Linked DNA regions of Stegostoma tigrinum. The protein of the gene in region 1 interacts with the protein of each later gene in a pairwise test. Links are inferred from orthologs where the notes say so. Each region holds a gene or a part of one and is shown on either strand. Other genes may lie near its edges. The genes, in order: urod and lratd2a.

Evidence for each region.
Region 2: the proteins of urod (region 1) and lratd2a interact in binary tests that used the Homo sapiens proteins (3 or more experiments, as listed by UniProt). The two-hybrid records come from large-scale screens. The link is inferred for Stegostoma tigrinum from reciprocal best matches to the Homo sapiens genes UROD and LRATD2.

Annotation. Positions count from the first base shown.
Region 1 is NC_081361.1:72,491,251-72,502,890, reverse strand, and holds the start of urod (uroporphyrinogen decarboxylase), read left to right. Parts: upstream 1-7,101; 5' UTR 7,102-7,214; coding exon 7,215-7,237; intron 7,238-11,640. Other genes in the region: E3 ubiquitin-protein ligase HECTD3, read right to left, coding at 1,781-1,941, 4,591-4,908. UniProt on the Homo sapiens protein: Catalyzes the sequential decarboxylation of the four acetate side chains of uroporphyrinogen to form coproporphyrinogen and participates in the fifth step in the heme biosynthetic pathway.
Region 2 is NC_081358.1:48,459,970-48,471,299, reverse strand, and holds lratd2a (protein LRATD2a), read left to right. Parts: upstream 1-6,835; 5' UTR 6,836-7,790; coding exon 7,791-8,675; 3' UTR 8,676-10,596; downstream 10,597-11,330.

The DNA.
Region 1 (11,640 bases):
TGATAGGGCATATTAACTTGCCAAATACTAGCTGGATGGTGAAGGAGGCATTTGGAACAATTCTCTTCTTTGGTTAGAACACTGAGTACAGGAGTTGGGATGTCATGGTGGGGCTGTACAGGGCATTAGTAAGGCCACTGTTATAATACTGTGTACAATTCTTATCAACCTCTACAGGAAGAACGTTGCAGAAAAGACTTACAAGGATGTTGTCAGGGTTGAGTTACAGGGAGAGGGTGAACAGGTTTGGCTTTTTCCCTGAAGCATCAAAGGCTAAGTAAGCCTTATAGAGGTTTATAAAACCATTAGGACCACACAGGGTGAATAGCCAAGAATTTTCCCCCAGGGTGGAGTGGTCCAAAACTAGATGATATAGGTTTAAAGGTGAAAGGGGAAAGATTTAAAAATGACCCGACGAGTAACTTTTTCACGCATCATGGCGTGTATGGTATTACTACTGGCCCACTGTATCCGGGTTAGTCATGCCAAAAAAAATTGGTCAGTGGCTCTGTTTCAAAAGAATTATTCAGGGAACTATGACGTATGTGTGAAAGACAGAATTGGATTCAGCTGTCAAGTTTGCGCTGGAGTTCAAACAGCCAATCTCAATATGTAGGCTCATGTAGAAAATCTTAGATGAGATGCTGGGTGTATTTTTGGAACCACATCCTAGAAAATAAGGTAATTGTAACATAAGATCTTGCGTGTGAATAACAAAAGAACAAAATGAAAGTCTTAGCTTGGTTTATTCACCTCTCAAACCTAATGTTATGGGATTCAGTGCCTCATGATCATGGTATTCTATTCAACCCAGAGCTAAGCTTTGAACCCCATATTTCCCAGGCTCAAAAGACCAGCTTCTCTACTTCTATAACAACGTCCCTAGTACAACCTTTTGTTGGAACCATATTCATTCCTTTATTACCTTCAGATTGAGGATTACTTGTCCAACAAGTAAATGTCACGTTCTCTATAATCTACAGCTGACCACATTTGACTTACTGATAGTCCCTATGCTCAATGACCTACATGGTCTCCAGAAATCATGCTCAACTTAAAAAAAATAAGCAAACAATTGCCATAAATTTAAAATCATCAAAATCAACTCATTGCCCCTTCCCCCTCCAGCCCAATATCCGAAAACCTCTCTCCAAATAAAGCCGCCATTCCTTTTGGGCAGGGGACATAGAATTAGGGTAAGAAGCAGTAAGTTTACAGGGATTTGAGGAAAAATCATTTTCTCCCAAAACATCATGGGAATTTGGAACTCACTGCCAAATGATGATAGAGGCAGAAACCCTCTCAACATTTACAAAGTATATAAAATGTACACTTGTGATGCCAAGGTATGTAAGGTAAGTCCTGGAAAACAGAATTACAGTAGTTAGCTGTTAGCAGTTGACCAGTGGAGACTCAAAGGGCTAAAGCACCTTGCTCTGTGCTGTTGAGCTTAACGATTTTCTGTGCATCTACAAATGGCTGATGATCTGGAATTCCTTTCCCAAATTCATCTCGTCCAACTACCTGTGTTTACAACACCTTCTTTAAAATTCACTGGTCAACCCAAGCCTTAAGTTACCAGGGCGGATATCTTCTCCTCTGTCCCATCATTCACCAATGTTTGGTTGTATCACTGTCAACGTTTGGGATGATTTTCTGTATCATAGGTGCCTTTTATGTGCAAGTTCTTGTTCCTATATATCCATGCATATGTACACACCTCATTTCGCTTTACTGTTATATTAAATGAATAGTGTGCTGTAGCATATTTAAAATTTACCTGTTACATGGCCTGTAATCATAACCAAAAAGCTGCTGCTGTTTCTGAAGCCTTTCGGGTGTTTCCACTGGCACAAGTCGCTCGCCACCTTCAGGCTGCTTACACAGAAGAATCCAGCCTTCTGTTTCCTGACAATTGCTATTGTACTCTTGTAATTGCTCCTGTAGCATTATTGGAACAATGACAAATCATATAATTGATCTATTACATAAAATAATAACATTATAATTCCAACAGCTGAGGATGGCAATCAATACTGTGAATACATCTGCCACACTGTGTCCACTCAATGTTATTATAATTATGCAGCTCTTGCTGAAGGCTTTCCCCCGAAACTTATTTATCTCTTAAGCTAAGATCTTGTATCTTACAGAGAAGGTTTCAGCTCATTCACATCCAATAGCCTGTTCTGAAAACTCTGGTTATGTTTTGACAGCTCTAACAAATTACAACATTACAGATGAGAAAATCTGTAACATTTCAAAACAACATTGTAAAATAAAAGAACCTACAACATTCTAAACAAGAATGTCAATTTGCTCCATCGCCTAAAATCAACAGATTCTTTAAGAAATTGCCTGGAGTTAAACCTTCACCAAATACTAATCAGATCTTCCCTGAGCCATAACTGAAACCTGTCCATTGAATCTGGGACATACAAACATACGAAATATGAACAGAAGTAGATCATATGGCCCTCAAGCCTGCTTTGCCACTTAAGACGACTACAGCTGTTCTACTTGCCCTAGCAAAACTGGAATCAATAGGTATCAGGGGCAAACTCTCTGGTGGTCAGAGTCATACTTGATACGCAGGAAGATGGTTGTGATTGTTGGAGGTCAGTCATCTCCGCTCCAGCACAACTTTGCTGGAGTTCCTCAGAGTCGTGTCCTAGGTCCAACCAATGTCAGCTGTTTCATAAATGACCTACCTTCCATCATCATAAGGTCAGAAGTGGGGATATTTGCTGATGATTGCACGATGTTCAGCACCGTTTGTCACTCCTCAGACACTGAAGCATTCCATTTCCAACCGCAACAAGAACTGGACAACACCCAGGGTTGGACTGACAAGTCGCAAGTTAAATTTGCGCCACATAAATGTCAGGCTATGGCCATCACTAATATGACAGAATCTAACCACCAGCCCTTGAAATTCAATGGCGTTACCATCACTGAATCCCCACTACCAAAATCCTTGCAGTCATCATTGGTCAGAAACACAACTGGGCTCACCACATAAATAAGATAAAGTGTGGGGCTGGATCAACACAGCAGGCCAAGCAGCATCTTAGAAGCACAAAAGGTGATGTTTCGGGCCTAGATCCTCCTGAAGAAGGGTCTAGGCCCGAAGTGTCAGCTTTTGCGCTTCTAAGATGCTGCTTGGCTTGCCGTGTTCCTCCAGTCCCACACTTTGTTATCTTGGATTCTCCAGCATCTGCTGTTCCCATTATCTCTCTCACCACATAAATACAGTGGCTACAAGAGTAGGCCAGAAGCTATGAATACTTTGGCGAGCAACACACCTTCTGACTCTCCAAAGCCTGTCCACTATCTGCAAGGCACAAGTAAGGAGTGTGATGGAGTACACCCCACTTGCCTGGATGAGTGCAGTCCCAACAACGCTCAAGAAGCTTGACACCATCCAGGGGAAAGGAGCCGACTTGATTGGCACTACATCCACAAGCATCAACTCCCTCCAACGCTGATGCTCAGTAGCAGTAATGTGTACTATCTACAAGATGCCCTGTGAAAATTCAGAAGATCCCAAACAGCACCTTCCAAACCCACGGCCACTTCCATCTTGAAGGACAAGGCCAGTACATATATGGGCTGTTACCACATTCACGTTTCCCTCCAAGCCATTCACCATCCTGAATTGGAAATACATTGGTGTTCCTTCACTGTCGCTGGGTCAAAGTTCAGGAATTCCCTTCCCAATGGCATTGTGGGTCAACCAAGGCAGGTGGACTGCAGCGGTTCAAGAGGACAGCTCACCATCAACTTCTCAAGGGCAACTAGGCGTGGACAATAAATGCTGGCCAGCCAGCGACACCCACATCCCACAGAAATGAAGTTTAAAAATTTGTGAACTCCACCTTCCCACTTACCACTGATAATTTTGATTCCCTTGTTAAATAAGAATCTATCTTTCTGAAGAATCATATCTGACTCAAAAATGTTAACTCTAGTTCTCTCTCCATAGATGCGGCCAGACATGCTGAGCTTCTCCAACGTTTTCACTTTCTAGTTGCCGGAAACTAGAACTGTAGTACTTTGCTTTTATATAAATTAAACAACTTTTTAACATTCGTGCTTATAATACAGCTTTGTGCTGTTGGCATTTAACTGTGTAGTTTCTTGCTCAATTCCTTAAATCCACTTATTAAAATATGTGTGCCTCACTATAGAAGTTCATCACTATCCTATCACCTTAATACTATAAAAGCAATGACCACACTAACAATTACTTGCTTTGTACGCAATTCATTTTTGACATGACTCAGGACTACGAAAAAGATTTCATGAGAGGCAGTGATATCATCATTATGCTTTACAAAATGTGTCTTATCTCAGTGGCCTTAGTGAGCCAAGACAACAGAAATGTTTTTACCTCACTCACTGTTCAAACAAAGTCCAGCACACTGTTAAAGCCATTAACAAATGAAACAATGATAAAACCGAGATGAAGCTACTCAATGAAGTAGGAAGCTACTCACAGTAGGAGAAAACTTTCCTGATGCAATTGCAAGAATACTCTACCAGGACAATTAAAAACAAAAATTAGCAAATGGTTCCCAAGGAACGTACCTGATTCAGCTTCACCCACAGGCCGTGGCTGTTGCAGTATTCCTCTCCAGTTGCTTTGATGCAAGTCCCTCTCTTTAATTCAATGTCAAAGAGTTTCTTGCGCTGAGGCTGGGAGGCTAACTGCCATATTGAAACAATGTACTGAGATCGTCCCACTATGGTAGAAGACAAGGTGGAGTCTTTCCAGAATTTATACAAGACCTCTTTGGGGACATAACACAAGGCTTCTGGCAAAGGTTTACTGTTCCTGAAGCAATCAATGCACTCAATCAGAAACCTGATTCTTCCTAGAATCTGATGCGGATTGTCAGGATTCATTGTAATCTAAAATTAACACAACAATTTGAATGTTGGCATGTCACTGCTAATGTGAATAGTATTCTTACTACAACTGCATTACATTCAAGAAAAGTAATTTTGCAGGAAGGTTCTTTTACAGTGTAGCTCCCTGGTTAAATACCCAATCTATAGATTCTGAATCACTATAGTGTTGAAGCAGGCTATTCAGCCCAGAGTCCACACCAGCCCTTCAAAAAACATCCCACTCAGACCAAACACCCTACCATAGCCCTGCATTTCCCACAGCTAAACTACTTAGCCTGCACATCCTTGGACACTATGGGGCAATTTAGCATGGCCAATCCACTTAACCTGCACATCTTTGGATTGTGGGAGGAAACTTACGCAGACACAGGGAGAACATGCAAACTCCACAAGGACAGTCACCTGAGAATGGAATCGAACTTGGCTCCCCGGCATTGTGAAACAGCAGTGCTAACCACTGAGTGATCGTGCCAAATCTTTCACTTTACACAGCTCTACTATGGTATTCATTGATTTTCCTCATTTATTCTATTTAAAACATGCCTGGAAAAATGTGCAAAGTTATACAAGAAATAAGATGAGTGAATCACTTCATTTTTAATCTAAGAATAGTACTGGAAACAGCCAACTGCAACAGCGAATAGCAGAAAATGATGGCGTGAAAGAGTGCATAACCTCAGAGATGGTAACAGAGTGCTGGAGAAAGTTAGCAGGGCTGGTAACACCTGAGCCGAGAAAACAGCTAACATTTTGAGTCCAGTGACCCTTCATCAGAATATTAGGAAGATCCCCAGTTTGGGGGGGGAATTGTCTTATGAGCAAAGATTGAGCTGGTTGGGACTCATTGGAATTGGGACAAATTAGGTCATTGAGACACACAGGATTCTTAAGGGGCTTGTCAGTGGAAATGTCCTTTCCATATTTCCCCTGTCAAGTCACTTAAGAAATCTATGTGTCTCAATGACTTCAAGGGAGAGTCTACGACTAGAGGATATAATCTCAGAATCAGGGGTTGCCAATTTAAGACAGAGAAGGTTGTCTCTCTTTGGAACTCTTTACCACATCAAGTGGTGGGAGCAGAATCCTTGCATATATTTGAGGCTGTTATGGATAGACTCTAGATCAGTGCTGGAATCAAGTGTTATAAGAAAAGGCACAACAGCAGACGTGGGGAGTGTCAGACTGGCAAAAATCCTATTGAACTGGCTGAGCAATCAAAGGGCCAAATGGCCTACTCCTGTTTCTGTTTCTATTTCTTATGGTTTTACAGATGGTAATATATGCACAAATAACATTAACAATCAGCTGACAAAAAATATTCACTTCCAGAAATGCAACATGTTCCACAAAAACATGAACTGAAGCATTTTGTTTTGAAACCATATAAATCCCAAAAGGAGGGAAAAGGAGAGTGCTTCACATGATATGGTAAAATCTCAGGTTTTAGACTTAACTGTTGACCTCAAACCAATCCATCTTGCTGTCACATAACAAACACGCTATCACACATAATTTAAAGAAACAAACTAGGCAGTAAAACATTAACAAAACTAGGTTGCCATGAAAGCAACACGGGAGAAAAACAAAACACGGCGCAATTAAAAAAAGTTTATTTTAAAAGAACACTTTTCTTTGAAAACATTATTAAAGAGACTGGGTGGGCCAGTTGGGGGAGAAAATTAAATCATGCAGTTGAACTTTGAGGGACACATCCAAACAGACTTGGGAAATATAGCTGAAATTGAAATTGCAAGTGTTTGAGTCAGGAAACGTGAAAAGTCCACTGTAAACAGTTCAAGCTGTAATGATTGTAAATTCCAAATTTGAAAATTCAAGTTTCAGCAGATTTAAAACACGGACGATCGTCAAAATCACTTGGCACTCAAAGCAGAAAGCTACAAAATTATGGGCTCCCTTCTGCTGTTTCCACAACTTCATCAGCATCTATTTGAAGGGTCACCAACTTTCCTCCCCCTCCTACCAATACTGAGTTACCTTTCAACCTTACACGCCCTCCTCATCTATCTCTCCCATTTCAATTCTCTACCCACCCCCACCCCATGACCGCACTTACTTTGGTCACTCTCCTTCTGCTTCCTGATACAGGCGCGCTACGACCCCCTTCGCCTTGAGGTCCTTCCGTGAGGTCATGTGATCCCGCCAGCGATCGCCCTTCCAACGGTGCACCCGGCGCTAATTGGCTGGTTGGAATCACGTGGGAGCTGTCAACATGGCGCCGCCCTGGGCCCTGAGGGAAGGAGTAGTCGCTACAGCGGTGGCTGCCTAGGAGTCCGAGCGATATGGGGGACGGCGATTTATCCGTGTAAGTGAAAGCGGGCGTAAAACAACAGGAGCGGCGTAGGCTTTAAATCCGGCGGCGAGATTTCACTCCCAATAGGGAGGCCGCTGTAAACCGTCCCTCAGAGAAACTCCAGTCAGTGACTAATGTGGCTTCAGCCTCCAGGCAGCCACAGAGTTTAGCACAGCTACCCGAACGTCAGTAAAAACTTTAAACATTCAGGTCTGACTCCCTCAACGATATAACTCTTAAGGTGACCATGAACATTCCGGGGAAATCCCATAAATCAGCTTTGGGCGGTATTAACACTAAAGCTGCCAACTCTATCCCCTTCACAGTGAAGTTATGTAACTGGAAAAGGCCTCGTGATTCACCACTCCTGGTCTTAACCCTGTCAGTCGTGTCCTATAAATGTAACCTGAATGGGTTTGTCAGCTCATGTTTATAGTCTGAAGGGTAATGTTTGTAAACTGTAGGAATTAGCAGCCTTTATTCAATAGGCATGTTTTGATGTGCTTCAGTTACTTTTTAACCACAGCGTTGACTAAGTCCTTCCTGATATACCTTTCCTGTATTGGCCGAACCCCTAACTATTTTATTGTGTTGTGTGTATATAATGCCGTGCTGCATTCAAAGGCTGTGGCATTTGCATGAAGATGGAACTTGACTGACATACTTTACCAAATATGATCTTGTCAACTGATTTTCTGGTCTTTCAGCACACAAAATTCCATCTTCTAATTTGAAGGAACATTTTCATAATCATGTTTTGAATTCCTTTTGGTATAGGGATGATGGCTATTAAAGAGTGATTAGAAATTTGACAAGATAGTACTTTGTTTCATAATTTATCTCTGATAATGGGGATGTGATTACAGATTCTGAACAGTTTGCAGCTTTTTATACTGCCCTCCATAAGCTTTATCTGCAGATTTGATTTAGTGTTGCACTTTTTGTGCCAATTAGAGCTAGCATTAGTGATAACTAGCTGACAAAATCCACCATTTTGATGGATGACAACATTTTTGTGGTCTTATTAATATAAGTTTATTTAGCAAGTTTGATTGCTGGGGAATTTCTGTATGTTTCAACTCTTCAGTTGGTGTAATACCAGAAGCTGCCCTCCACCTTCTGTTTTCCAGGATAAATGACTTTGCAGTTAGCTGACTTGCAATGCACTCTTATCTGAAACAAAAAGTATCCTCCTTTTCTATCATCAGTATTCCAGTCAACTGTTTTAGTAGACAAGATCAGTTTGTTGTAGGCTAGATGCTTCGGAGAAATGCTCAGATGCACGTTAAGTATGCAAACGAATTCTTGGTGCCATTCAAAACAGGGGACCATACCTTAATGGCAGACCTCTAGCCATGTAACAGAAAAAAGGTTGCTGTGTATTTTAGCCTTTAAGTTCACTAGTGCAGTCTCACATTTACTGTAAATGTGGAAGTATTAGTTGGAATTAACAGAAATGTCATGACTTTTAATTTGGCAGCCTCCCATTTTTTGAGCTGATGGTGTGTCTTGAAGGTCAGCTTGGTGTTGATCAGCAGCATGATCCTGGGTCGTCTCTTTTTTTCTCCCCCCCCCCCCCCCCCCCCCGCCCCAACAACCTCCCTTCGGCTCACTTTACTCAGCCAGCTAATCTTTTCACTTATCCTCACTTCTCATGCCTGATTGTCTGCATCAGTATCCATGATCTTCATTACTTGTAAGTGTTCAGTAGCAGAGGTGTGGATGAATGGTAGATCGTGAACTGGCCACTGGGTCACAAAACAGAAAGTCTTTAGTATACAGCCAAGCTATCAGTATAATTCAGCTGAAGCTGAAGGAATCTTCGGAATCTTAAACTAGCTTACTAGAGGTTATTTGAGTTATATTATGTTGATGTATTTTTGGCATTAACAATTGAGAGATTTTTTAAGGTAAAGACATCTAGTGTTTCCTTCTCAAAAAGACTCAATCCTCATTTTCAAATGTGTTTGCCATTTTATTAACAGAATAGGAAAGTTTGTACGATGTCAGAAATTAAACATGGATCTTGGGAGAAGTGTCAAAAAATTATTTCTGAACTGTTTGACCAAAATAATATTTCGGTAAAAACATTTCCAACCATTGCATTTTTACAGAAGTCTGTGAGTAATGATTTGCTGATTCTTTAATAAATTGACTGTCATATGATTGAATGCTGAGTCAGAAGATTTAGGATTTATTCAAAGTCTTACACATTTTATTAGTCCTTGAATATTATTGGCTTCATTTTGAAGTGCAAAAATATCACAGCATATGTTGCAAATATTATGGTGTCTTAAATGTCACCTACATTCAGATTGCATAACTTCAAATTGTTATGTGGAACAAAAGCATGGAATCATACACAGCAGAAGAGATGCTTCAGCCCATCACATCTGTACCCCAAAGCTACACTAAATCTACACTCATTCCACGATCTAGCACTAGCCCCATAGCCTTGTACATGATGACATTTCAGGTGTTCATCCACATACCTTTTCAAGGTTATGAGGTTTCCATCTCAACTGCCCTCCCACGTCATGTATTCCAGAACCCCCCATCCTCTAGGCGAAAAAATATTTCTTCAAATCTCCTCTCAACCTTCGGCCTTTCACCTCAAAAATTATTTCCCTTGTTATTTACCCTTCAGCTAAGGGAATAACTACTTTCTATTCACCCAGTCCATGCCCCTGATTGTCTTCTACCCCTCTATCACATACTCCCTTCTCCTCCTTTGCTGCAGATAAAACAACCCAAACTTATCCTGCCTCGCTCCATTTAAAAAAAAATGCTCCATCCCTGACCGCATCCTGGTGAATCTCCTCTGCACCCCTCCAGCGCAGTCGCATCATTTCTTTAATGAGGCAACCAGAACTGTGTATTGTACTTCACCTGTGCCCTAGCCAAAGTCCTGTCCCTGTTCATGGATAATCACAATTACTTGCTGTTTTCTGAGGAGATGATGACGATGATTGAGGGAAAAGTGGTTGATGTTGCCTACATGGACATCAGTAAAGCCTATGTGAATGTCCCTCATGGCAGACAGGTACAGAAGGTGAAGTCACATGGGATCAGGGGGAACTGGCAAGACTGATACAGAACTGGCTTAGCCATAGGAGACAGTGGGTAGTGGTGGAAGGATGCTTTTCAGAATGGAGGGCTGTGACTAGTGGTGTTCCACAGGGAATGGTGCTGGGACGTCTGCTGTTTGTGATCTAAATAAATGATTTGTAAGGAAATGTAGCTGGCCTAATTAGTAAGTTTGCGAGTGATACAAAGATTGAAATTGCAGATAGTGAGGAGGATTGTCAAAGGATACAGCAGGATGTAGCTCAGTTAGAGGCATGGGCAGGTAAATGGCAGATGGAGTTTAATCTGGAACAAATGTGAGCTGATACATTTTGGAAGATCAAATACAGGTGGAAATTATACAGTGAATGGCAGAACCCTTAAAAGTATTGATAGACAGAGGAATTTGGGCGTGCAGATCCACAAGTAGATAAGGTAGTAAAGAAGGCCTATGGCATGCTTTCCTTCATTGGAAGGGGCATTGAACAGAAGGGTGAACAAGTTATGCTGCAGCTTTATAGAACTTTATTCAGGCCACACTTGGAATATTGCATACAGTTCTGGTCACCACACTACTGGAAGGATGTGGATGCTTTGGAGAGGGTACAGAAAAAGTTTACTGGGACGTTGCCTGCTATGGGGGATTTTCGCTACACTGGTAGGATGGATAGACTGGGTTTGTTTTCACTGGAATACAGGAGGTTGAGGGGCATACTGATAAAGGTTTATAAGATTGTGCATGCCTCGGATAGAGTGGAAAGTATGATGCTTTATCCGCAGGGTGGAGGAGTCAATTACTGGGGGGGCACAGGTTCACGGTGAGGGGGAGGAGGTGGGAGTTAAGAAATGTGCGAGGCAGATTTTTCACAAAAGGAGTGGTGAGTGCTTGGAACGCGTTGCCAGTGGAGGTGGTGGAAGCAGACACAACAGCATTCAAAAGGCACCTGAATGAACGTGAATAGGAAGGGAATAGAGGGATACAGATCCTTTAAGTGAAGACAGTTGTAGTAAGGAAGGGCCAAACGTCAGTGTGGGCTTGGAGAGCTGAAGGGCCAAAGGGTCTATACCTGAGCTGTATTGTTCTTCTGAGGAGGTGGAATGGGGAAATGTGGAGTTGGGGCAAACATGGTTAAGAGGAAATGGTAAATTTTGGACATCTGCTACCAGGGAGCAGTTACTATAGGATTCATTTTTTGAAATCTAAAATTTATCAATTTTGCTTAACTGTTTAGGATGACCTATAATGATATCACTAACCCCAATAAGCTAATTATAGTTGAAGCTTAGATCAACCAACTTGTCTTCTCTTACCAGCAAATCTATAAGCTTGTGCCCATATAAACTTTTGT
Region 2 (11,330 bases), on another chromosome or scaffold:
GAATTAACAGCACAAATCCTCTTGAATGATTATGATGTGGTAAGCATCACAGAGACATGGTTGCAGGGAGCTCAGGACTGGCAGTTAAACATCCAAGGATTCACAACATATCGAAAAGACAGGGAGGTGGGCAGAGGGGGTGGGGTTGCCTTGTTAGTTAAGAATGAAATTAAATCTACGGCACTGAATGATATAGGGTCAGAGGATGTGGAGTCTGTGTGGATGGAGTTGAGGAACCACAAAGGCAAAAAATCTATAATGGGAGTTATGTACAGACCTCCTAACAGCGATCAGGACCAGGGGCGCAAGATGCACCAAGAAATAGATAGGGCATATCAGAAAGGCAAGGTCACGGTGATCATGGGGACTTCAATATGCAGGTGGATTGGGTGAATAATGTTGCCGGTGGATCCAAAGAAAGAGAATTCATGGAATGCTTGCAGGTTGGCTTTTTGGAACAGCTTGTGAGGGACCCAGCAAGAGAGCAGACTATTCTGGACTTAGTGCTATGTAATGAGCCAGACTTTATGAAAGACCTTAAAGTAAGGGAACGCTTAGGAGGCAGTAATCATAATATGGTAGAGTTCAGTCTGCAGTTTGAAAGAGAGAAGGCAAAATCGGATGTAATGGTGTTACAGTTAAAGGTAATTATAGGGGCATGAGAGAGGAATTGAAGAAAATTGACTGGAAGCAGAGCCTAGCGGGGAAGACAGTAGACCAACAATGGCAGGAGTTTATGGGTGTAATTGAGGACACAGTACAGAGGTTCATCCCAAAGAAAAGAAAGATTATCCGGGGTGGGATTAGACAGCCATGGCTGACAAAGTAAGTCAGGAAATATATCAAAGAAAAAGAGACAGCTTATGAAGTGACCAAGAGCACTGGGAAATCAGAAGATTGGGAAGGCTACAAAAACAAACAAAGGCTAACAAAGAGAGCAAGACGGAAGAAGAAGGTCAAATATGAAGGTAGGCTAGCTAGAAATATTAAAAATGATAGTAAAAGCTTCTTTCAATACATAAGAAACAAGCGAGAGGCAAAAGTAGATATTAGGCTGCTCCAAACTGATGCTGGAAGGCTAGTGATGGGAGATAAGGAAACAGCTGAAGAACCTAATAAGCACTTTGCGTCAGTCTTCACAGTGGAAGACATGAGTAGTAGGCCAAGACTTAGGGAGAGCCAGGGGGCAGAGTTGAGTATGGTAGGCATTACAAAAGAGCAAGTGCAAGAAAAGCTGAAAGGTTTAAAAATTGCTAAATCTCCTGGCCCTGATGGGCTACATCCTAGAGTTCTGAGGGAGGTGGCTGAAGAAACAGTAGAAGCTTTGGTTGTGATCTTTCAAAAGTCACTGGAGTCTGGGAAAGTCCCAGATGATTGGAAAATTGCTGTTGTAACCCCCCGTTTAAGAAAGGATCAAGGCAAAAGATGGAAAATTATAGGCCGATTAGCCTAACCTCAGTAGTTGGTAAAATTCTTGAATCCATTGTCAAGGATGAGATTTCTAAATTCCTGGAAGTGCAGGGTCAGATTAGAACAAGTCAGCATAGATTTAGTAAGGGGAGGTCGTGCCTGACAAACATGTTAAAATTCTTTGAAGAGGTAACAAGTATGTTAGACCAGGGAAATCCAGTAGATGTTATCTATCTAGACTTCCAAAACGCCTTTGATATGGTGCCTCACGGGATGCTGCTGAGCAAGGTGAGGGCCCATGGTGTTCAAGGTGAGCTACTGGCTTAGATTTAGGATTGGCTGTCTGACAGTTAGCAGACATTTGGGATGAAAGGCTCTTTTTCGGAATGGCAACCGGTGACGAGTGGTGTCCCGCAGGGTTCAGTGTTGGGCCCGCAGCTGATCACCTTGTATATTAATGATCTGGATGAAGGAACTGGGGACATTCTGACGAAGTTTGCCGATGATACAAAGATAGGTGGACAGGCAGGTAGTACTGAGGAGGTGGAGAGGCTGCAGAAAGATTTAGACAGTTTAGGAGAGTGGTCCAGGAAATGGCCGATGAAATTCAATGTGAGCAAATGCGAGGTCTTGCACTTTGGAAAAAAGAATACAGGTATGGACTATCTTCTAAATGGTGAGAAAATTCATAAAGCAGAAGTACAAAGGGATCTGGGAGTGCTGGTCCAGGATTCTCTAAAGGTTAACTTGAAGGTAGAGTCCATGATTAAGAAAGTGAATGTAATGTTGCCGTTTATCTCAAGAGGATTGGAATATAAAAGCAGCGATGTGCTTCTGAGGCTTTATAAAGCTCTAGTTAGGCCCCATTTAGAATACTGTGTCCAATTTTGGGCCCTACACCTCAGGAAGGACATACTCGCCCTGGAGCGTGTCCAGCGGAGATTCACACGGATGATCCCTGGAACAGTAGATTTAACGTATGATGAACGGCTAAGGATCCTGGGATTGTACTCATTAGAGTTTAGAAGGTTGAGGGGAGATCTAATAGAAACGTACAAGATAACGTATGGCTTAGAAGGGGTGGATGCTAGGAAGTTGTTTCCGTTAGGTGGGGAGACTAGGACCCATGGACACAGCCTTAAAATTAGAGGGGGTAAATTTAAAACTGAAATGAGATGACATTTCTTCAGCCAGAGAGTGGTGGGCTTGTGGAATTCATTGCCACGGAGTGCAGTGGAGGCCGGGACGTTGGATGCCTTCAAGGCAGAGATCGACAAATTCTTGATCTCACAAGGAATCAAGGGCTTCGGGGAGAGTGCAGGAAAGTGGAGTTGAAATGCCCATCAGCCATGATTTAAATGGCGGCGTGGACTTGATGGGCCAAATGGCCTTACTTCCACTCCTATGTCTTATGGTCTTATGGTCATACCCTACCAATTTTACAGATGGACTCTTTGTTTAAACCAATCATAATCTTTCTTTTTCAATGACTTTCTAGATTCATAACCACAATCATTGCTTGCCACATCAGCTTCTCATTTTCATTTAGGGCAGTTTTATTTAAAACAGTGTCCCCAATCTCCTCCACCAGCGCAATCCTCTGAGATATCTATGCTCTTTCTATTCAAATCTCTTGCACATTCTCAATTATAATTGTTCCACCTTTGGTGGTTATATCTTCTGTCATTGGGCCTAAAGCTCTGAAATTCCTTTGGACACCACTCTTGCTCATTCTCCTCCTTTAAGATCTTCTTTAAAACTTCCCTACTTAACGAAGTTTTTGTTGTTATCTGGCCTAATTAATTCATGTGGTCCAGTACCACCATTGCTTTTACGATGATCTTGTGAAATATGTTGGAATGTTTCATTATGTTAGAGGCACTAAACAAATACACAATTCTCCATTTTGCATTGTGACACACATACCGTCATTTGGAAGAAATCACCAAAACAGTGCATCCCAAACTTTTTAACCTGGTGACAACAATGCAAGTTTTGAAAATTGTCACAAGCCATCAGTGAGAATTGAGAGGTGAGAGGGACTGGTAAGAATGTGAACCTGTCTGGTAACACAGTTCTAACTTGTGCACAGCCCCATGATGGCTACTGCTACCCTCAGAGTTTGTGACACCAAACCTTTAGCTCTAGACCACACTTGGGGTCTCAACCACTATTCTGGGAAACTCTACAGTTAGCACAGTTGGCTGGGCAGCTGCTTTACAATGCAAAGTGATGCCAACAATTCCCACACCAGCTAAGGTCATCATGAAGGTCCTGATTTTATGACCTCACCCCAGCACTGAGGCATGGTGACCCTCAGGTAAAACGTGTCATCAGTTAACTTTCTCTAATGAGAGAACAGCCCTATAGTCCTTTGGGACTATGGTGGCCACTAGTGTAGAACATTGAGAGGCTGCTAACACTTTAGCCATAAGTGATCATAGATACACCCCAGGCATTCTCATGCCACGCTGCAATTAAGTGGACATTGAAGATACTTCAGAAAAAAAATGTAGAAATAAAATTAAAATGTTACGATGAATCACAGACATTTGCTGATTCTTTTGGAATATTTGTCATTGAAACCCCTTACTCTCTTCAAGGCCGTAACAAAAGTTTTATCATAAAGCATGCAAGCACTGAATAGTTTCAACCTGACAATTAATGACAGCAGAAAAAAGTAAAACATCACAGAAAAACGCTGGTATGTGTTTCATTCAACAGATGGAATGTGTTTTTGAAAAGGTAGCTAGTTATCTGACATGTCTCCTTGTTGGTGTTCTTACCTCGAGTTTGAAAGTCACAAGAATATAATCCAAACTGATACTCCCTCAGTTTTGCACTGCTAATTGGGGCAATCTTTTGGATGAAAAGTTTCTTTTTGATGAAAACTTAAATTGAGGTTCTGCACATCCTCTCAGATGGACATAAATGACCCATAGCACTATACAGAATTTCTCGTTGTCCAACATTTAACACTAGACTAACTCCAGTGAAACTGATTATCTGATTATTTATCTCTCCGTTGTTTCTCTGCATAACACCAGTGGATATACTTCAAAGTCACTTAAATGGCAGTGCAGTGCTTTGGGCCAATGTCGGGATATAAAAGATATCATACAAATGCAAAATATATTTTTTTAATATTCAAATGGGCAGATAATCTAAAGCCAAATGTACAATTGAACACAGTTTATGTTGGAGTTCTTCAAACTGTCCCAATTGGGTCTTCTTGTAGACATTGATAGTTTTACGACCAATTCTGAAATATGTTGTCAGTTTCCCTCTGTTAAAATTCTATTGAATTGTGTTAAAATTCTATTGAAATCTATCACAAAAGATTAAGCAGTTGCGATATTTCTTTTTGTTTTGCTTGTGGATCCTGCTTTGTCTAGAATTGTTTTTGATCATATATTACACCATCACTGTTGTTAGACTCTGAGAATTGAATAAAACATCAAAATAAAAAGGATCCAATGCATTTCTTTGGCATCTGAAGCTTCTTTAATAAAATGTAATTTAAATAACTTGTCTGACAAACAGGAAGTACAGAATGGAAATTCTGATCATTTTAAATGTTCAGATCAGCTCAGCTCTGTTGCATCTGAGCATTGAGCATCTAATTTAAATTTACAATGCAGGGTGTTACTTTGGGAGTGCTGTGTTGTGGAAGGCCCAGGCCCTTGGAGAAGGCACTAAACTGAGGTCCCGTTTGTTTTTCCAGATTACACAAAAAAGATCCGATTTCAAAGATTCCTCATCCAGACACTATCACCAAAGCTGCTCATTGCTATCGGAAGGTCTAGGTATGTGCAAGACGCTGTTTTAATTTTCAGGGCAGAGGGCCATCTTTTGGATTACTTTGGGAGGCTAAGCTTCCATTACAAAGGACACTGGTGAGACTACATCTGGACTTCTGTGCACTGTATTTGTCACCTTAAAGATGCAAATTTAGAGAAGATTGACTACATTATACCAGAATGAGCAAGCGGCCTTATAAAAAAAATTTGACAAGCTAGGTAAGTATCAGTTGGACTTTAGAACAATAAATGATAACTTCATTGAACCATGTTAGACCCTTACCAGTCATGAAGAGTTGGATGTGAAGACGATATTTCCTCGAACCTTGAATTATTATGATTATTGAAGGTCATCCTATGGCACATGGACTGCAGCAGTTCAAGCTCACCACCACCTTCTCAAGGACAACTAGGATCAAGCAACAAATACTGGCCAGCCAGTGATGCCCATGTCCCACAAGTGAATCAAAAAACATGAGGAGCTGGCCATTAAAAACTTAATCAAATTAGTGAGACCCGATTTCCCATGCACAAAGCCATGTTGACTATCTCTAATCAGTCCTTTCCAAACACATGTCCCTCAGGATTCCCTCCAACTTGTCCACCACTGATGTCAGGCCCACCAGTCTATAGTTTCCTGGCTTTTCCTTACCACCTTTCATACATAGAGCATAGATCAGTACAGATGAGGTGCACTTTGTTTTTGCACAGAGTCATGAGCTTTTGGAAGTCTCCTCCAAAGAAGAGAAGCAAAGATTTTGATTTTAAGGCTGAGGTAGGTAGATTCTTGTTAAGCAACTTGTGAAAGGTTATCGGGGTCAGGATTGTGGATTTGAGGTTACAATCAGATCAGCCTTATCTTACTGAATGACAAGGCAGATTAGTGGGGCCAAATGACTACTGCTGCATTTCTACATTGGACATAAAATAACTCCCTGTTCTATTTCTCTCTAGTGCCCTGGCCAAGATCTGTCCCTTTCCCAACTTCTAAAAAGAAGTTATCAGGCAGGCTATGGCATTGCTGTTTCGTCGCCTGAAGTGGCTGTGCGTGCAGATCAAAAGGTCTGTTAAACATTCCGGAAGGTTGTGGCAGGTGCTACGTGAATGCAAGACCTTTCAAAATAATTTGCTGTAGGCCTTTGGGAGTATTGATTTGTACGATCTCCTGAATGTTGGGAGAGAAGCGGCCCACAATCACACGTCAGTCCTACTGCAAGTGAGACACTGCATAACCTTTGAACCATATGTGGAATGTGAACTTAATACACCCACGTCTTTCGCAATGCACAAACGTCTTTGTCCTCGGCAGAGATTTCATCGGCCAATACCGGAAGGTTTGCGATTTCTCTCTCCCCACCCCGCGCCCAGATACAGTTCCCGAACCTGATCAAACTGGTCTCATTGCAACTCCAACATGACTTGGCCGGATCTTCCTCTTAGCGTTAATGCCGTCCAAAAAAAAGATAAAGAGCAGAGACTTTTTTTTCTCAGACACGCAGCAGGTCTGTCACTATCTGAGAGCAGAAATGAACTGACACAAGCAGTTTCATTTCTCAGGTGCCGAGAGCCCGCTGCCGATTTACAAACACCCCCCCGCCCCCCCCCCCCCAGGTCGGATTTGCAAACCTTCGCTCTGTACGTGCACATAAAACACAGTGGCGTTCCTAGCTTCGCCGTCCGCTGTCGGAATTCTTGCAGGAAAGTAGTTTTTCAAAGTGGCAGAGCCCGAGAGATTGTGTGTGTGTGTGTGTGTTTGTAAACGACCAGACAGTGGATGGGGGCGGCATTCCAGAAGCTTTTGGCTGCTCCCCAGAGTTGGCAGATCCTTTGCGCTTCCGCCAGCTCGCTTACCTTGACGTTTCCGAGACATAGAGGGAGGGAGTGAGGGAGAGAGAGACCGAGGGTCGGTGTGAATGAGTCACATTCTCAGGCGAGCACGCAGTAGCGGCACAGCAGCTCCGCTGTTCAGCTGATATCCTTCCGGCAGTGGCTGAGCCAGTCTCCAGGAGAGAGAGAGAGAGACTGTGGGAGACAAGGGGCGGGGAAGGATCCCTCCTACCACTCTCTCTCTCTCAGACACACAATCTCTCCCTTTGGTACCTGTTTGCAGTTTGGACGGACTGCAACACCTGAGGCAAGGGAGGACGACAGCCAGGAGGAGGCTCTACAAACCCAAACTCCTTTCAAATCTCAAAAGCCCACAAAACAACTGTACTCCAGTGCCGAGGAGGGGGAGCTATCTGACTATTGATCGACTCCAACTTTTTATTTTACTTCCCCATCGCCCCCGACCAACCCATCCCTCCGCTTATTTGCCATCGCTGCTGCCCTGGACCCTCAGACCCGATGGAGGCCGGTGTGGAAGACCCTTTAGCCGGGAGGACTGGAGCCTGAGTTTGCTCGTCCTGTTTTGTTTTTACAGGTGGAGATTATTTTTGTTATTTCTCCCCAACCTCCGCCTTTTTTCGTTTCACTGTTTGCCGGGGGTTGGTTTATTTACAGTCCTGCGAACTTGTGTGTGTGTTTGTGTGGTTTTGTAAAAAAAATTAAGAATACACAAGGAAAGGAGGTCGAAGTTGAATGGGGAACCAGGTGGAGAGACTGACCCATCTGAGTTACGCCGAGGTACCTACGGCGGAACCGGCCGGGACGGAGCCCGGGCCCCGCATCGGGGTCTCCTACATCTTTTCAGTGGATGAGGACGATGATTTGGCGGACGAGCCGGTGGCCGGAGAGACGGGGTCGGGTAGGGGTCCAGCCGCCGGCGGCGAGAGGGAGTGTGACCGGGATAAAGAGGAGGACGGCGGGGACACGTACGACCTCCTGAACGAGGTGGAGTGCTCCGTCTACTACCGGGACCAGTGCATCTACGAGAAGAGGAGGAGAGCAGGCCGCTCGGCCAAAGGAGACGGCCAGGAGCTGCTGACCCCTCAGCCGGCCGAGATCCTGCTGGGAAGGTGCCAGCCCGGAGACCTGGTGGAGTTCGTGGCGGCGAGTCAGTGCCCTCATTGGGCCGTCTATGTGGGCGACTTCCAGGTGGTACACCTGCACCAGGCGGAGATCCGCAACGACTTCCTGACGGATGCTAGCCAGGGCCGGAGGGGCCGCCTGGTCAGCCAGCGGTACCGCTTTAAGGCGCTGCCGGCCGACGCCGTGGTCCGAGCCGCCCTGCAGCAGGTCGGCGTGCGGGGGGCTCAGCTCCGCTGGAGTAGCTCCGAGTGTTTCGCTGCCTGGTGCCGCTGCGGCCGCCGAGAGTTCAAGGTTGGCGGGGAGCTCCGCATCGGCAAGCAGCCGTACCGCTTACAGCTTCACCTGTCCGAGCACAGCAGCCACACGCTCGAGTTCCAGAGCCTACATGACCTGATCCTGGAGAAACGCCGCAATGACCAGATCGGCAAAGTGGCTTTGATCCGGGAACTGGCCGCCCATCTGCACAGCGACGAGCAGCAGAGGACTGACCACTGACACCCCTGCTGAGGGGATCAAGTACCAACCTGCGACAGACCCACCATCCCAATACTGAGAGGGTTCAACCTGGGACAGACCCCACCATCCCAATACTGAGAGGGTTCAACCTGGGACAGACCCCACCATCCCAATAGTGAGAGGGTTAAACCTGGGACTGACCCCACCATCCCAATACTGAGAGGGTTCAACCTGGGACTAACCCCACCATCCCAATACCAAGAGGGTTCAACCTGGGACCGACCCCACCATCCCAATACTGAGAGGGTTAAACCTGAGACTGACCCTACCATCCCAATTCTGAGAGGGTTAAACCTGGGACAGACCCCACCAACACAGTACTGAGAGGGTTAAACCTGGACTGACCATACTATCCTACATGGGTTAACATGGGACTGACCAAACCACCCCCTACTGAGAGGGTTAAATCAGGAAGCGACCACACCACACTTGCAAAGCAAATCAAACCCGAACCTGGACCTGACCACCATCACCTCCAAACTCCAGAGGCTTACATCATGGTCTGATAACATCAACCCCACAGAGGGTTATACTTTATTCCAGGACTGACCACGCAACCCTGCTTCCCACTGAGAGGGTTAAACCCTGGAACTTACCATTCAATCACTGGTAAGAGGTTTAAATCCAGCCTACAACCACCCCCCAAAACCAAACCTGGTTATCCCTTGGGATTGACTACACTCCGCCCACTGAGTGGGTTAAACTGACCTCCTCCACATGCCCAATCTGAGACTGATCACACAACACCCACAGAGCAGGTCAAAAACTACGAATGACCACAAAACACTGAACCATTTAAAATCCGGGACTGATTATGACACAGACTGAGCAGATTAAAACTCCATAACACACATTGAGAGGGGTAAAACCCATACAGCCTGGGATTGACACTGAGCAGGTTAACCATCTCTGCCAACGTGCACCCCTCCTCACCAAAAAACTGGGACATTTATTGATTATTCAGGCTGGAATGAAAAGTTTCACTTCAAGTTTCTTTCCTATTTCCTCTCACCCAGACAAACTGAAAGGAAGCATTATCAAGTCGGTGGATTGCACAAAAGTAAAAATGTAATCATGCGTTAGCCACACTGTGTTAATTTTCCTGCAACATTCCTCAGTTAATATAATCACCGTTTATTGTGATACTGGAGTGTTGGGGTTGTTTCGTACTCTTGATAATCTGTGACTTCTCTTGTTACTTTTCCCCAAACCACCCCCTCTTCCTCCCCCACCCCAACCCTCCATCTTTTTATATTGCTTGGGTAGATCAAACCCTTGCTTTAACTGAGAATGAAATAACTTCGCTTCAGAAGGGGAACATTTCTCAGTCATAACAGTTCCTTCAAAATGAAGGGCAAAGTTTAATAGTAGAAGGGGTCAGTTAGGTCGATCTGAAGAAAGCAAGAAGTTAAAAACGGTTGTGGTGATGGACAATGCACACTGGGTTAGAGTGATTCAGTCAGGAGCATTCTGAAGTGCATTATTTGCCAACTAAAGCGTACAAATACTTTATACAGTTAGCTGGAGAAAATAGCACCTACTGATTTTAGTTTTTAAGTTCAGCTTCAAGCCCGTATTGGTTTTGGTTGGTTTCCATTGTTGATGATACATGTTCCCATGACACATTGAAACAGAGTTTGAAGGTATTCATATTTCTTGCACATCTTTATTGAGATTGAATTGAATATTTTTATAATGATATTTTTGAATTTATTGTGCATTAAGTTATGCACTATAGTTGATATTTTTGCCTGCCTTACTTTTGATGTGTGTGACATGTCAAAGTTTTGCAAGGTTCTAAAGATCAACAGAATGCACAGACCATGTATTGATAGTGTCTAAATAAGCACTTGTGTACATTGCGAAACCATGTAATAAAATGTTGGAATATGTGATTTTCCATGTGAGAAGCATTGTGAAGTATTCATGCAAACATAGGGAAATTTTCCTCAAAACTCTTATCTCTCTATTCCACTCCTTTGCATCATTTCCCACCCACAACCCATTAGGAAAGTTTTACAGTGCATATACTTCTGCTATAGTATTCTGTCTCTAAATTTATGTAGCTGTTTTCGCAACATCTGGACATTCCAAGGTGTTTAATAGCTGATTTAAATAGTGTGGGGAGGTGAAGGTCTAGTGGTATTATCGCTGGACTGTCAATCCAGAGACCTTGATAATGTTGTGGGGACCTGAGTTTGAATCCTGCCATGGCAGAGGGTGGAATTTCAATTCAATAAGTGTCTGGAATTAAGAATCTGATGATGACTGTGAATCTGCTGTCAATTGTCAGGGAAAACTCAGCTGGTTCACAAATGTCATTGAGGGAAGGAAACTGCCATCCTGAACTGGACTGGACTACATGTGACTCCAGACCCACAGCAATGTGGTTGACTCTAAACTGCCCTCTGGGTAATTATGGACTGACAGTAAATGCTGCCTAGCCAGTGATACCCGCATCCTGTGACTGAACAAAAAAGTCTTATGTATACTTACATATGAAATAATTACAGTTATTGTTATAATGTAGGACACACAGCAATCAATTTGTAAACAGCAAGCTCTCACCGATAGCAAAGTGATAATCAGTAAGACTGTTTTCTTTTTTGTGATATTGATTGAGGGACAAATATT